Caenorhabditis elegans: one gene and its partners. The protein of the gene in region 1 interacts with the protein of each later gene in a pairwise test. Each region holds a gene or a part of one and is shown in the gene's direction. Other genes may lie near its edges. The genes, in order: ubc-25, chn-1 and erp-44.1.

Evidence for each region.
Region 2: the proteins of ubc-25 (region 1) and chn-1 come close enough for resonance energy transfer, tested with the Caenorhabditis elegans proteins (one study listed by BioGRID).
Region 3: the proteins of ubc-25 (region 1) and erp-44.1 interact in a two-hybrid assay, tested with the Caenorhabditis elegans proteins (one study listed by BioGRID).

The regions. Positions count from the first base shown.
Region 1 is NC_003279.8:10,561,182-10,565,520, forward strand, and holds ubc-25 (Ubiquitin-conjugating enzyme E2 25), read left to right. Parts: upstream 1-1,788; 5' UTR 1,789-1,808; coding exon 1,809-1,886; intron 1,887-1,929; coding exon 1,930-2,265; intron 2,266-2,318; coding exon 2,319-2,810; intron 2,811-2,862; coding exon 2,863-3,015; intron 3,016-3,067; coding exon 3,068-3,172; 3' UTR 3,173-3,722; downstream 3,723-4,339. UniProt on the Caenorhabditis elegans protein: Catalyzes the covalent attachment of ubiquitin to other proteins. Required for the maintenance of neuromuscular function.
Region 2 is NC_003279.8:6,180,806-6,185,586, reverse strand, and holds chn-1 (E3 ubiquitin-protein ligase CHIP), read left to right. Parts: upstream 1-1,730; 5' UTR 1,731-1,740; coding exon 1,741-1,799; intron 1,800-1,845; coding exon 1,846-1,936; intron 1,937-1,989; coding exon 1,990-2,058; intron 2,059-2,106; coding exon 2,107-2,205; intron 2,206-2,252; coding exon 2,253-2,459; intron 2,460-2,680; coding exon 2,681-2,893; intron 2,894-3,888; coding exon 3,889-3,951; 3' UTR 3,952-4,273; downstream 4,274-4,781. Other genes in the region: GPI mannosyltransferase pigv-1, read right to left, coding at 37-124; T09B4.2 (Torsin-1B), read right to left, coding at 352-442, 508-721, 830-1,133, 1,180-1,500; putative mitochondrial import inner membrane translocase subunit tin-44, read left to right, coding at 4,747-4,781.
Region 3 is NC_003279.8:5,416,516-5,422,279, reverse strand, and holds erp-44.1 (Thioredoxin domain-containing protein), read left to right. Parts: upstream 1-1,587; coding exon 1,588-1,639; intron 1,640-2,178; coding exon 2,179-2,274; intron 2,275-2,325; coding exon 2,326-2,475; intron 2,476-2,520; coding exon 2,521-2,605; intron 2,606-2,975; coding exon 2,976-3,078; intron 3,079-3,169; coding exon 3,170-3,417; intron 3,418-3,850; coding exon 3,851-4,026; intron 4,027-4,071; coding exon 4,072-4,210; intron 4,211-4,256; coding exon 4,257-4,341; intron 4,342-5,073; coding exon 5,074-5,175; downstream 5,176-5,764. Other genes in the region: utp-14 (Small-subunit processome), read left to right, coding at 722-772.

The DNA.
Region 1 (4,339 bases):
TCGTCCAAGACGTGTGCGGGCCTGCGTGGGCCTGAGTGCCGGGCTGTGAAAAACTTTTCATCCACTTTTTTTGCTCTACATGAGAAAGCTATGCATTTCACTTGGTGAAATTTTTAAGCTTTGCATAATGCTCAATGTTCCTTTCCCACCTACAATTCCAAATAACAAGATAACGAGCTCGTTTCAAGCTTTCTTTCATTTTCTAGATCCTGTAACCCTCATTTTTGCTCTATGTATCTCGTCTCAATTCCCGCAGCCACATTGATCAGATTGCACTTTCCGTGCGTGTTTCATCTCCGCCACTCAAAACAGGTTTCTTTTTATGGGCTTTACGTGTTTCTGAATGTCGTAACAAAGAAAATTGTACTTTCGAACATATATACAAAGTACTTGTTGTCTAGTACTTCTACTTTTGGTTAGGTTCCAAAAACTAGGTGCTGTTTTCAGTCTGCTGCCTCTTCCTCTCTTTGTTGGGTCATCTGATATGATAAGTTGATGGTCATTTATAGTGGTAAACAAGAACCACCTGTTTTTCATCAATATTTAAAGAAGGAGTATCGTCAATGGGGAAATTGTTTTAAAATGTAGTATTTGTACTCAAACTTCCAATTATTGCAAAAGAAAAACGGAAAAAATCCGTTAACATTAAGCATTTTGCCGTTGAAATCGACGAAAGTGGCTGAATTTGAATTTCGCGCTCAAATGAATCCTAGGCCACCACGCAACTTCTAGGCCATATTCGTTAACAGAATATTGATTTAAATGTAATTTTTTCGAACTTTAATTCGCTTTTCTTTCTCAAAAATTGAAATATTGATTTCTTGTATGAAATATACGTTTGTATTGAATGGGACTGTCGGGGGGAAATGTCACCTGCTCAATTGTATTATTTTCCCACACTGTGCCGATCGATAAACAACGCGCTGCCGATCAGTGTGAGCTATTCTGCAAGAGCGTCCATTAGGATGTTCCATTTTCTCCCCTCTACATCATTTCATTTGTCTTTTTTTCTCTCAATGCGACAATTTTTATATTTCACTATTTGCCCACTCTTTCTTATTCTTTTCTTACCCCACTGCGGTCTCTGGCATCATCAAAGCATCGATTGTATTTCTTCTTTTCAAAAATCAGAATTTTTTAGTAAAGTTCAAATATTCCTTATATTGATTCGTATAGTATGTGTTATCAGTTCAGTTTTATATTTTGTTTACTGATAAACGTAAACTTATCGTTTAAAATTCTAAATTTAGTATTCGAAATCTTTTTATTTCATTAATCGATAACAAACTGAATTTCAGCTGTCTCATTGAACTTTTTAATCAGGAACTCACAGAATAAAGATCATTGTTATTTATCTCGTTATCTCTATTAATCACGTAACTTCTCACTCCACCTGCGTCTATTTCTCTTCTTATTGTCTCTAATTCTCTCAACCTCTCATATCTTTCCCCAAGTGTGCCCGTGCCAAGACGAGTTTCTCACTGGCTGGTGCCTTTCATTCGGTTGTCTAACCGTCTACGTTTCGCATCTTGAGTACACTATCTTCCAGCCTGTTGTCGTCTCTCCTCCGAAGTATCGATCGATTCTCGGTCCACGCTCTCGTTGACAGGGCGGTCGTGAATCGCAATCTTTCACATGTTTCGAAAATTGCTATATATCTTTATAAATATTTCGAAACAATAGAAAGAAAGAAACAGTATGCTTGGGAAAACTGGTGGCTTATCTTTTTCAAATCGTTAAAATTGCATTTAAAAACTTAATTTTACGACTATACTCGCATATTTTCAGGTAGCGAAAATCAGAAGAGGATGGCGTGTCTTCGAAAACTAAAAGAAGACATTCAGGTTCTGGAAAAACTATTTCCGAAAAATCACAATCGCTTTCAGGTATATTGAACGTTCTTATCAGTTTTCTAGTTTTAAATTTCAGATACTGTCTGCCTCGGTTGATGAGCTATCGATGAAATTCATTAATGCTGAAAACAAGGGAATTATTGTGACAGCTAACATTCAAGAGAATTATCCACGTCAACCGCCAATCTGGTTTTCCGAATCTGATGACGTTCCAGTCATCGGAATGTCTCTTCAACGGCTCACCGAAACTGAAGAGTCGACGAACATTTTGCACCAAGTTCATCGATTGGTATCCGATCTCTGCTCTTTCTACAACCTCCAAATGCCATGTGAATTACCTCAAATTGCTCCACCTGTCAGGGATGATATCGATGAAGGTCGTGGAAGTGATATTAGTGATACCACATCTGAGGTAATTTAGTTTTAATTCAGTTTTTCGTTTTTAACATCAAAAACAATTTTCAGCCAATCGACGACGACATGGCTGGAGATGGAGAAGTTGACGATGATGATGAAGAGGAAGAAGACGATGAAGATGCGGACGGTGACATCGAAATAGTAGAGATGGCTGAAGAAGATCCAACATCTCAACACGATGTTGGAGTTTCGAAAGAAGGTCTCGATATGCTCGACAAAGTTTCAAAAATTAATAGACAGCAGCATTTGGATGGGAAAGTTCAAGGTTCAATCACAGCTACAGATCGTTTGATGAAAGAGATTCGCGATATTCACCGAAGTGAGCACTTTAAAAATGGAATTTATACGTTTGAACTGGAAAAGGAAGAGAATTTATATCAATGGTGGATCAAGTTGCACAAAGTTGATGAGGATTCACCATTGTTCGAAGACATGAAAAAGTTGAAGAAGGATCATAACCAGGATCATTTGTTGTTCAGCTTCACGTTCAATGAGAAGTTCCCTTGTGATCCACCGTTCGTCAGAGTTGTTGCTCCACATGTGAGTCTCTAACTTTGAATATTTTTATTGAAACTTATATTATCCTATTTAGATCAATCAAGGATTCGTATTGGGTGGCGGCGCAATATGCATGGAACTTCTAACAAAACAAGGATGGTCATCAGCTTACTCTATTGAGAGTTGCATTCTTCAAATTGCTGCTACCTTGGTAAAAGGCCGTGCTCGAATTTCGTTTGACGCAAAGGTAATTTGAAAATTTAATGTTTTTAAATGAAAACTCTAATCTTATATTTCAGCACACATCGACGTATTCAATGGCTCGTGCTCAGCAATCATTCAAGTCCCTCCAGCAAATTCATGCGAAATCTGGATGGTACACACCTCCAAAAACAGAAGGATAACTCCCAATTCAAAGATCTTCATGTCATCCAGTACTTTTTTATGTTCCACACCCTCCTCTCACTTTTTCGCTCTCCACTTGGTATTTTTTCTTCACAGTGACGATTTTTTTTTCAATGGTTTTTTAAAATCGGAAACGTTTACCTTTTTCAAACTTTCATTCCGCGGGTACATCTCTTCTCTCGTTTTATATTCATTTTCTAGACATTTACATCATCCATTCTTCACCCGCTTCCTCATCCCTCAACTACAACCACCCCCCATCCCCTTCCAATTAATACCTCCATTCTTAAATAGAACTAAACATGTGTAAATCATCTGAAATTTCGAGTTTCACGCGATGGAGTGTTCACAAACCCAACATGTTCCAAGAAACGAACGCATTCCCCTCATTTCGTTTTTTTGTATAGTTTTTAGCTTCCTTTCTCCTATACCAAAAACTGTCCAGACGTCTGAACTAAGACCACTCGTAATCTTTTTTTACAATGTAAACCTCATTTTTGGTCTTCCTCACGATGTATATTTCCTGAAAATGAAGTGTCTGTTCCTATGAACATGTGTGGATTGGCTTTTTTGGTGTTTATTTGGAAACGGTTTTAGTCTCGGCTAAAGCCAATTGTCCAAAAGTGAGCTGTTTTGAAACTCGCGTTTTATCAGGAAAAATGAAATTCACTTATTTAAAATTTTTAAAAACAATTATTTATAATAGAAAGCGTTTTTAAGGTTGTTTTATTATTCGAAGACTAAAAATTTCAATTCCAATGCTCTCAGCTGTCTCGGCTCTCTTTCTCTTTGATTCCAATACATGGGCGTGGCCGGCACTCACGTCCAACTTGGAAGCGAGCGGAACCCGTGATGTGTCGGCCGCCGCGCTCTGTCACCTCGAAGACCAGCGCTGCTTTCATCGAGACCATACTATACAGAATCATTTCTGCAGTATGTATCTCGTAATTCCCATCAAATTGGTAGAGATGCCAACTGCGATGAAAGGGAGACGGGCAGGTCGCGAGCGTGAAGCAGTCCTCTAATGACTTGATGACCGCACGGAGCCAATGAATTTTGGAGCCGTAGTGGCCTGCTCTTCTGAGCAGTTATAAATGTGTCACAAATTAGAATAATATACTAAATCACAAAACAAAAACTTGGATAATAAACATGAATTGAAGAGT
Region 2 (4,781 bases), 4.4 Mb from region 1:
AGTTATAATTTGCTAAAAAAACCTGCGTTTTCTCACCTTCGTACGTATCCGTACGTCTCTCTAACTCGATAAATTCTTCCTCAGCTGCACGTTTAACATCTCTCCCAGGCTCACGTCTACGCATCCTGTATTAATCATTTTAGAAAACAGATCAATAAAAAAATAAAATAGTGACAGCATTTTTAAAGCGAATATACGAGATTTATACGAACATGTAAAACTTTTACTATTTTTATTCAATGAACACAGAATTCCTTGAACTATTTAGCTGATCTTGTAAAACCTTGGATTAAATTACAGAATTAAAAAATAAAAACCCGTGAAAAATGAAGGTAATGTACCGGCAAAATTTTAAACACATAAAAAATAAGAAATTCGTGCAATAATCGGTGGAATGTTGTCTGAAGAGCCGCCGTTCTCAATCCAGCGTTTCGTTAGAAATCTGTAAGTGCGAAAATTGTAGATCAAAAAATTTCTTAACTATTTTGATCTACAAAAACCACTTACTGGACCATTTTCTCATCACAACTTGTGTTGGCAATGTCCATCGTTGAATCTTGTTGTGAAGAAACAGTCAGAAAAAGTATTGTTTTGGGAACTGGATATTTTCCGTGATCTGAGAACGCATGAAGAACAAGAACTGCATCCCATTTTAGCAGGTCTACATCCAAAATCACAGCTGTTCGAGGTGATGATTGTGAAATAAGAGCGGGTCCGAGGACTGAAATAATGCATTATATTTTCAAAATTCAGCGAATTTTCACATTACTTTGGAGATGTTAAAAAGTTATTTAAACATAAAATATTATGAGGTTCTGAAATCACTCACTTTCCTGCAAATTCGCATGCAACTCGGCTCTATCAGTGTCACTTTCCACTCTAATTGATGATTTTCCTGCCGTAGTATGCTCATCACTTTTAGCATCTTGAACAGCTCGATTCACAGCTTCGGCAATTTGTTTGGCCGGTGTTCCCCCAACAAGAACAACCAACGGAGCATGATTTTCTGGTTCCAAATAGATTTTCTGCCCGATTAGTCTTAAGAGATCCCGATTTTCTTTCGAAATTGTAGGAAACTCGTTCTTGATGACAGATCGGACTGATTTGATGTAACTTTCATACGATTCGTTAGTCTAGAAAATTGTTAATTATTCCGATACCGCGTGTAGTTTTACCAACCGTAACTTTGCTTCCTTTAATCAATGCTCCCACAACAATCGCAATGAAAACTATTCCAATAACAGTCCAGTATTTCCATTTTTCATTCACTTCGTTACATGACACATCGGATTCTTCTGATCCATGTGAGCTACTGAAACTCAAATCCGCATCTGTGAAATCATTTTCATCTTGTTGCTCGCTAGTCTTTTCGGTTCTTGCATTACTTATTTGTTCAGTTAGATCAGGATAAAGCCTTGATGAACTATCGAGACTCCTACGTTTATTCGATGTTGGTATGTAATTGGATGGAGTTCCATATGATTTTCTGGTTTGCACCATACCCTGAACTAAAACGAAAATTGGAGCAGAATTTGAAAAAAAAAAATTAAACTGTTAAAAAAAAACATAAATATAAAAAATTGCGGCAAAAAACAAATTTTGGCTTGGAGCGAGTACACCGCAAACACCGCAAGCTTAATTTGCACACAATGCGTCAGAGCTTACGCGCAACTCTATCCGCATCATGCTTTTCAAAATCGATTTTTAGAACAATTTCCGCTTATTTTCAGCGTTTGCAGCATGTCAAGCGGCGCCGAACAACATAATACTAATGGCAAAAAGTGTTATATGAATAAAAGGTATTTTCATTTATGTGTAATAAATCCCATGTCTTTGAACTTTCAGATATGACGATGCCGTTGATCACTATTCGAAAGCCATCAAAGTAAATCCTCTGCCGAAATACTATCAGAACAGAGCAATGTGTTACTTTCAGGTATTTATACTTCGATTAAAACTTTTCTTTAACTTTTGTAATATATATTCTAGCTTAACAACCTCAAGATGACTGAAGAAGACTGCAAACGGGCACTGGAACTGAGCCCAAACGAAGTGAAAGTAAGCTTTCAACTCTTGAAGTTAATTAGTTATTCAATTCATTTTCAGCCTTTATACTTCTTGGGAAATGTATTTCTACAGAGCAAAAAGTACAGTGAAGCAATAAGCTGTCTCTCCAAAGCGCTCTACCATAATGCTGTTATCACGGTAGAAATTTTTGAACGGCGTTTATTAAAACGGAATTGTGGTTTCAGAACGCTCCAGATATTGAGAACGCCCTCAAACGGGCACGCCATCAAAAGTACGAGGAGGAGGAGTCAAAGCGAATTGTACAAGACGTTGAATTTCACACGTATTTGGAGAGCTTGATCGAAAAGGATCGTCAAGAAAATTCTGAAAACCCAGAGGAGTTGCAAAGAGCAGATATGGCTAAAAAACGTCTAACCGAACTCACTTTAGCGGTAAATACTTTTTCTTGAAAGTTTTTTGAAACTTTAGTAATACTATTCCCAAATTCTTATATCTAAGCGTTTCTAATTCGAACCAAACGAGTTTCCGAATCCTGCCAACTTTTTTCAACCGGTTCAAAATATACTTTCAGAATTAAGCATACTAAACTATCGTGAGTGTAATATTTCCTAAATCACGAGAGATCAAAGAGAATCAAAATATCATTTTTTAGACACAAGAAAAACGGCAAAACAGGGAGGTTCCTGAGATGCTCTGCGGCAAAATTACACTGGAACTGATGAAAGAGCCGGTGATAGTTCCATCTGGAATCACGTATGACCGAGAAGAAATTGTGCAGCATTTGAGAAGAATTGGCCATTTCGATCCAGTCACAAGAAAACCACTTACCGAAAATGAAATTATTCCGAATTATGCACTGAAAGAGGTTGGAAATTTATACAGGGTGGGCCAAAAGTATGGTAACACGTTTGCAGCTCTATAACTTTACTAGTGGAAAGAGTTACTACATCAATTGTTACAAGTTTTGTTCTCCATAAAATACTGACCAGATGAACGTTTTGAATTTTCAAAATATTCCCATCCGCATCGCTGCAGGCCTTCAGAACTTTTGAGATCACGACCTTTATGGCACGCAAGTCGGCATTCTGCGGGATTTCTACATTTTTCTCGAGGAATCCATCAAGTGCCTTACAAGTTTTTATAGTTCAAAGAATGCTCTTGGTCTAGAGATTCTATAAAAACAAAAATCCAAATAATTTCTATCACGGTATTTCTGTCATGGACTGCGGCAGTAGGTTAAGTCTTGAATGGCATAGTCGCCAGAAAGATGGATGTGAGCGGCGAGTAGCAGTATGCAGAAAAATTCATTTTAGTATTTTTCGAGACGTTTTGACCTGACTTTCCAGAATTTTTTTAGAAAATTGAGCTCGGATGATTTTGTGGGACGTTACGCCTTGCGAAACCAAAAAAACTGAGTAAATTTCGCAAAGTTGAATTCATGAAATATTCAAAGGTTCTTGCTAGGCGCCAGTGTCGACACAGAAAATTTTTATATGCCACAAAAACAATTAAAAACGCTTCTTCACTTCTTTAACTTTAAATTTAACATAAAAATCATACATCTGAAAATTATTGGCGTGCATGGGAGGTGTGTTTGTGTGGGAAGTGCCGCGTGCCAAATTACCGTTTTTTCGAAAGGGTTCGCCAAATTGTCGAGGTGATAAAGATCGCACCTTATTGGGAAACATTACAAATTTTGAGTCAAATTGAAGGAAATTTATTCAGCTATCAGTATTCGATAGAAGAATGTACGTATGACGTGGCAGTCACGCGAAAAGCTCATGTAAAAGAGCGCTTCATGTGTTACCATACTTTTGGCCCACCCTGTAATAAATTCAGTTAATTTCTAATGATTTTCAGGTTATTGAAAAGTTTCTTGACGACAACCCATGGGCTAAATATGAACCCGGAGGCATGGTTTAAATACTATTCAGAATATTGAAAAATTCAACATTAAACATTCCTGGCTGCTTCTCAATGCAACTTCTTCACTTTTCTACATGTTTCAGTTCTTTGCATTTTTTTTTCGGATTTTTAAACTTTTATTGTTTGAACGCTGTACCCTCCTTTTCTGTTCTACCGGTATTTGTATCTTGGTGTATTTTTTAGCTTTAGTTTTCTTTCAAAATTCCATTGAATTTCTGGTAGAAAGTGCACTTCAACTTGTCGCTTAGTTCTCAATTTTACTGCTAAAAGTGAGATTCTGTAAATATTGTATGAAATAAAGAGGTGTGATGCTTTTCTTTTCATTTTACAATTTTTTTTATACCAATAGGAAGGTCTATAACCTACTATCTACGTGACTTTGTAAATAAAATAAATAAAATCGGGAAGTTTTCAAAATTGCATCACTGGGAGTGCGGGATTGCGGAGTGTCGTTGTGAAATTTAGACGGCATTTTTTTCCGTTTTTTCAATTTCGAAGCTGTTTAAGCTGAATTCTGTTCGAAAATTTGTTGAAATAAAATGCAAAAAAGAATTTTTGTTCACAAAAAATGGTTATTTTCATTCTCCGGGCATTATTATTTTTGTTTGCAGAGTTTTAGAATAACTGTTTAAAAATCCTTGATGTTTAGATCTGAAAAGCTTTCAATGGTTCAGAAGAAATTATAATTAAACCGAAATTAATTAATTAAATTTATTATTTGAATATTTCCCGCACAAGTTCCATTCTTGCCTCTTCTTTATTGAACTTATAATGTGAAAAATTATTCTTCAGATGTTGTCACGAATTTGTGGAAACGGGATACGATT
Region 3 (5,764 bases), 5.1 Mb from region 1:
TCCCAAACGGGTGCAGGTCATCTTTTTGTGTAGAGGTTGGTGGGTGTTCATATAGATCGGAGAAAGAATGACGAAAAATGATTGACAAGAGAATACATATTTGGATTGGCTCACACCTGTATTAATTGAAGAAGATCAGTGAGCTAGCGAGGAAATTTGAATAACTTTTAAAAATAGCAAGAAAACTTCTAAAGATTATCATTGAAGAGGAGCAATTTTCTAGACGTTTTAGTTACAGTAATCCCTGTGTTACAGCAAATCTTGTCTCCTCTTCCAAAAAACCATTACAGTAATCATAAATATTGGAATTATTTGAAATCAACCAACAAAACTTGCAATTGAAAATTGTTAGAATCTATTTAGAAAGAAATAAAAACATCAAATATATGTTTACACCATGACGAGTCACTAAAACTAATCGAGTTGTTGACTGAAAGTAATTCAAAATCATCGTTCGGCGCCGTACATTCTGCTGGGTTTTCACACGTTCCTATTACATTGATAAGAACTTGAAATGTTTCAAAACATTGTTGAAGCTCGAAAGAAAATCGATGATGTGTGTGTTGCTTCTAGGGACAGCTTTTCCTCACTCAGCTGTGAAATGCTCTTCTTCTCCTTCTCTTACTTCTTTTCTCCAACTATTTTCACATTTTTCCCCTCATGAGTTACTAGACACAAATTTTGAATAAAATTTCTCTATTTATAATATTTATATTTTCAGGCTGGAAGAGCTATTCGTCCAATCAACAAGAAGCATCTACTCGGAGAATAATTGGAAGAATTGTTAATTTTTTGTTGATTTTTTAAAAAAACTTTATTGTTGGTTTTCTCTCTTTGAAGTGTCACCTGAAATGTTCGTTGTTGTTAATTTTATATGTTTTCTTTACGGTGAAAGTTTAATTGAGACCATTTTCTCATTATTTTCTCAATTTTACATTTCCTGTAATTCTTTAAATGAAAAACAAATTTTTTAAAAAATAATTCAATTATAATCAGTTTTTTCGTTATGGTGGATATCCCCAGCAATTTATTTGAAATTTGAAAATATAATTTTTGTTGTTAAAATAATATTTTGAAAAAGTTGGCAACGAAACCCAAAGTTTTGAAATTTTGAAATAAAAATCTCAAAAAAATGTCTGCTTTTCGCTTTCGAAAGTATTTAAAATTTAATTTTTTAGGGTATTTCTCTATTTAATCATGTCTCATTAAAATCAACATTAAATATTGAACTATTCTTCATTTTTCCAGATATTTTCTAGAATTGTTTTTTTTTATTTTTAAAAACATTTTTTGTCGGTTAAAAACCACTAAAGATTTTGAAAAAAAAATTTTCCATACTTCAATTTTTTAATAAACGAAAAATTTGGTTTAAAAAAATCTGAAAACACTGCAACAACAAGTTTTTCTGACAAATTTCTCACAAGAACCTGCACCTTCACTATTTTTGAGAAAATAAACCCCAAAACGTTTTTTTTTTCGATGTTCAGTTTTAACCAAAAAAAAAAGGTTTTGATTTTTTTAAATTCGAACAAAAATTTATATTTTTCGGTTTTGAAAGAAGAAGTGAATCTCGGTGATCAGCACGGAATGGCACATGCTCTCAGAGAGATACAAGCACACAGTATTCTCATGAAAAATCGTTTGTAAAGCTGCCCCATCCACGCCCAATTCTCATCGCCAGTCAGCTTTTTCTCCACTTTTCGTTTGCTCTTTTCCGTGTGCTCACTCACTCACCCTGCGCCTCTTCTGATTCAGCGTCTGTGTCTCTTATAATTCAACACTTTTTCCACTATTTTTAATACCCCGGGCGGTTTGTGTGACCAATGCTGGCCAAAAAGTACACGTGTCTTTTGCCGTTCTTTTAAATTTGAATATGCTGCATTCAGACATTGATTTTTATGTTTTGAGAAATGTTTTACAACGTCTTACCCTTTCTAAACCCTGCAAAACGCCATTTTCCGCACTAAACTAACTGATGATGAATATGCGTTTACAACCAATCAAAAACATTCGTTTTGAAACAGACCAATCAAGAAACTCTTGAACTTTTTGTTTTCCTATAGATCGGTTGATAAGCATACTTTTTACAGCTGGAAAATCATTTAAATGTTCTTAACATTTGCCTTAAACATTTTTAAATTCCCTATAAATTCTCAAATCGAATAACAAAAATTTCAGAAATGCTGCGGTGGTTATCCCTACTTCTATTCTGTCCGGCTCTACTGAATGCTGAAGTTGTTTCATTGACATCACAAAACTTCGAGCAAACTATTCGTGAGCTGTCTTCAACTATCTATGGAAAATATGCTAATTATCATGTTTCAGAAGCAAATGAACTCGTTTTCGTGAATTTCTACGCAGATTGGTGCCGCTTCTCGCAGATGTTGAAACCCATTTTCTTGGAAGCTTCGGAAAAGTTCAAAGATGCGGCTCCGGGCAAGATTATGTGGGCTTCAGTGGATGCTGATAAGAACAGTGAGTAATAAATTGGAATAATTCATTTATTTTTATGAAATTCAGACGACATTGCCACAAAATATCATGTTAATAAATATCCAACTCTGAAGTTGTTCAGAAATGGAGAAGCCGCGAAAAGAGAGTACAGGTTAGTTGCTTAATTTTAATTTGTTTTTTTTTTAAATTTAAAGTTAATAAAAATATATAAAAATTTATAATTTTGTTCAAAAATTTTCTTATAAAGATTTGGCAAACTGTCGAACTTTTAATAAATGTGCAGAGTTCTAACCTCTACACCTCCTCCTTCTCCTCCTCTACACCTCTACACTCTGAGAAAATTTTTTTTGGTCAAATTCCAAAATTATAATATGTGAAACTAAAAATTAAGATATTTCAAAAATTTGTTTTACTATGATATTAGGACATTTTAGCACTATAGGCTGCAATTTTACACAACTTTTTTTATTGACGATACACTTATTTTTTTCAAAAAAATTATTTTAAATTTTGAATTTCAGAAGTTCCCGATCCGTGGAGGCTCTTAGCGAATTCATCAATAAACAAATGGAAGTTACAGTGAAGAAGTTTATTGAGAAAAATGCACTTCAAGCTGCGCATAATGTGAGTTTCACTGAAAATATTTGAAAAACCAAAATAAATTTTCTATTGTGGCAAAAAGAAGGTTTCAAAACTAAAAAAGTATATTTTTCAGCCAGAAAAGAACACATTTATTGGATATTTCCATGATGAAAACAGTGTCGAGTACAAGAATCTCATGAACGTGGCAATGTTTTATCGTGATGAATGTGAATTTATGGTTGGAATCGGAGATTTGAACTTCCCTGGAGAGGCACCGGCTGCTGGTCAACCACCGAAACTCGTTTTCCAGCCATCTAATAAGGCTGTGAATCCAGCACAGATTCCATTCTCTGGAGATTTTGCCACTTATGAATATCTCAAGTTAGTAAAAGTTATGAAAAATTTAGTTTTTCTCATCGCAATGGTAGTTTGTCTTACTTGAAAAATATTCTCACATTGAACCTGAAAAAATGAAAAGCTGAAGAAAAAACCCAAATTTAAGCTTTTTCGGTGATTTCTTAAATTCCCACGCGTTCTAAAAAAGAGCTATCACCAAAAAAAAACATTTTCTGTTCGGTTTTTTGGGTTAAAAATAATTTAATTTCTTCACAAATCTTTTTTAAAAATACAAAAAAATATCTTTAAAAAATATCTCATGTTTCAAAATATTAAAACTTTTTTTTTGTTAAGAAAAAACAAAGGTTAACCAATTTTCGACAAAAAAAAACTCGATAAAATTTAAAAAGGGGCAAGGAACCAATTTCGAGCCGAGGAGACTGTAAAAAAAATAATTATTGTAAAATTAAATTTTCAGACAATGGGTTGCTGACAAATGTGTGCCATTAGTTCGTGAAATCACATTCCAAAATGCAGAAGAATTGACTGAAGAAGGACTTCCATTTATGATTCTTTTCAAGAAATCTGATGATAAAGTCAGTGAGAAGATCTTCACTGATGCAATTGTTCGAGAACTTCCTGATCAGAGAAAAGGTATTTTATTCGAGTTTTTTTAGATTTTAAAATGAATAATTTCAGCAATTAACTGCTTGGTCGGTGATGGAACAATCTTCAAGCATCCACTCAGTCACTTGGGTAAATCGGAATCCGATCTTCCAGTCATTGCAATTGATTCTTTCCGACATATGTATTTATTCAAGAATTTCGAAGATGTCAAGTAAGATCTGGAAAATGGATTATATAAACAAACAAAATTATTTCAGCGTCCCCGGAAAACTCCGCGAATTCGTGCTCGATCTGCACAGCGGAAAGCTTCATCGCGAATTCCACCATGGTCCAGATCCAGTGGTAAGTGTCACTTTTTGGGAGTTTTTTGGTTTTTGAAATTTTTATGAAATTTATTGAAAAGTTAGTAAACGAATTTTTTTTTATTATCTGAACCAGACTTTTTTCTATACCACCTTTAAAAAAGTCTCTAAAAATCCTTGAAAAATGTAAAATTACAAATTTCATGAGATTTTCAGGACGGAAAATCCCTCAAATTGGGAATTTTCTATGAAAAAAAAACAAAATAAATGAAGCTTTAACTGAAAATTGAAAAAAAAACTCCGAATTATTAGAAGATTTAAAAAAAATTATGGTTGGGATGATTTTTTCTAAATATTTTTCCCAGACGCGAAATGTTGTGCTTTTTCCGTCAAAAATACGGTAAACGGGTCTCGAAACGACAAATTTTTGTCAAATGTGAAAAGGTATGCGCCTTTAAAGATTACTGTAATTTAAAATTAGTTGCTGCGGTTTTTTATTGATTTTTCTTTTTTTTTCTCGATTTGAAAAAAATTATTAAAAAATTATTGTTATATCTGATTTTTTTTTAAAATAAATTTCCTTTTCTGATCGAAAAGTCAATAAAAAATTCAAGAAAAAATAAATCTTGAAATTACAGTACTCTTTAAAGGCGCGCACCTTTTGTATTTTTCAAAAATTTGCCTTTTCGAGATTCGGTACCGTATTTTTATTGAAAAAATTGCAGTACTTATTTCCAAAGACCATATTTACAATTTTCGTAAGACATTTCAGACTGGAAATCAAGCACCGGACACTGAGCCACCACCGTCTACATTCGAGAAGTTGAAGCCTGCTTCTTCGAGATACACAATTCTTGACAAAACGGAACTTTAATTTCTTTGATTTTTCATTTTTGTTTATAACAGAGCTTTATATCACAATTGCAACATGGCCTTGTTTTGCATTTCTCTGGTGTTCTTTTTTTTTAATTTTCAGTTTTATTCGGTCAATTTTCCATTGGTTTTGGTTTTATTTCTTGGTTTCTACGAGGTCCCCCCACACACAACTATTTAATCCCCGATTTCCACAAAAAACTATACATTACTATGTTATTCCATCGGATTGTTGTTCTTTTGCCAATCAAAATCCATTTCTTTCCTATTCATCTCTCTGAAAGTTTTAGTCAATTCCTGTCTGTGATGCGCGGTTTTATTCTTCGTTTTCCCATGTCTCTATCCCTGTCTTTTTTTTGTTTTTAGATTCAATTTTATTTCAAAAATTTTTTGAATCTTAAATTCAAAAACAATCAACAATGTTAACAGAAACGAATGAATATATTTATTCTTTCTATTTCTTCAATAACCTTTTTGTTTTGGCGGTTAAATGGATTCAATCCGATTCATCTACTTGTCAAAGGTGATTGACCAAATTTTTCACAAATATTTTTATTTGTTCCTTTTGAAAATTATCTATCGATCTTCTT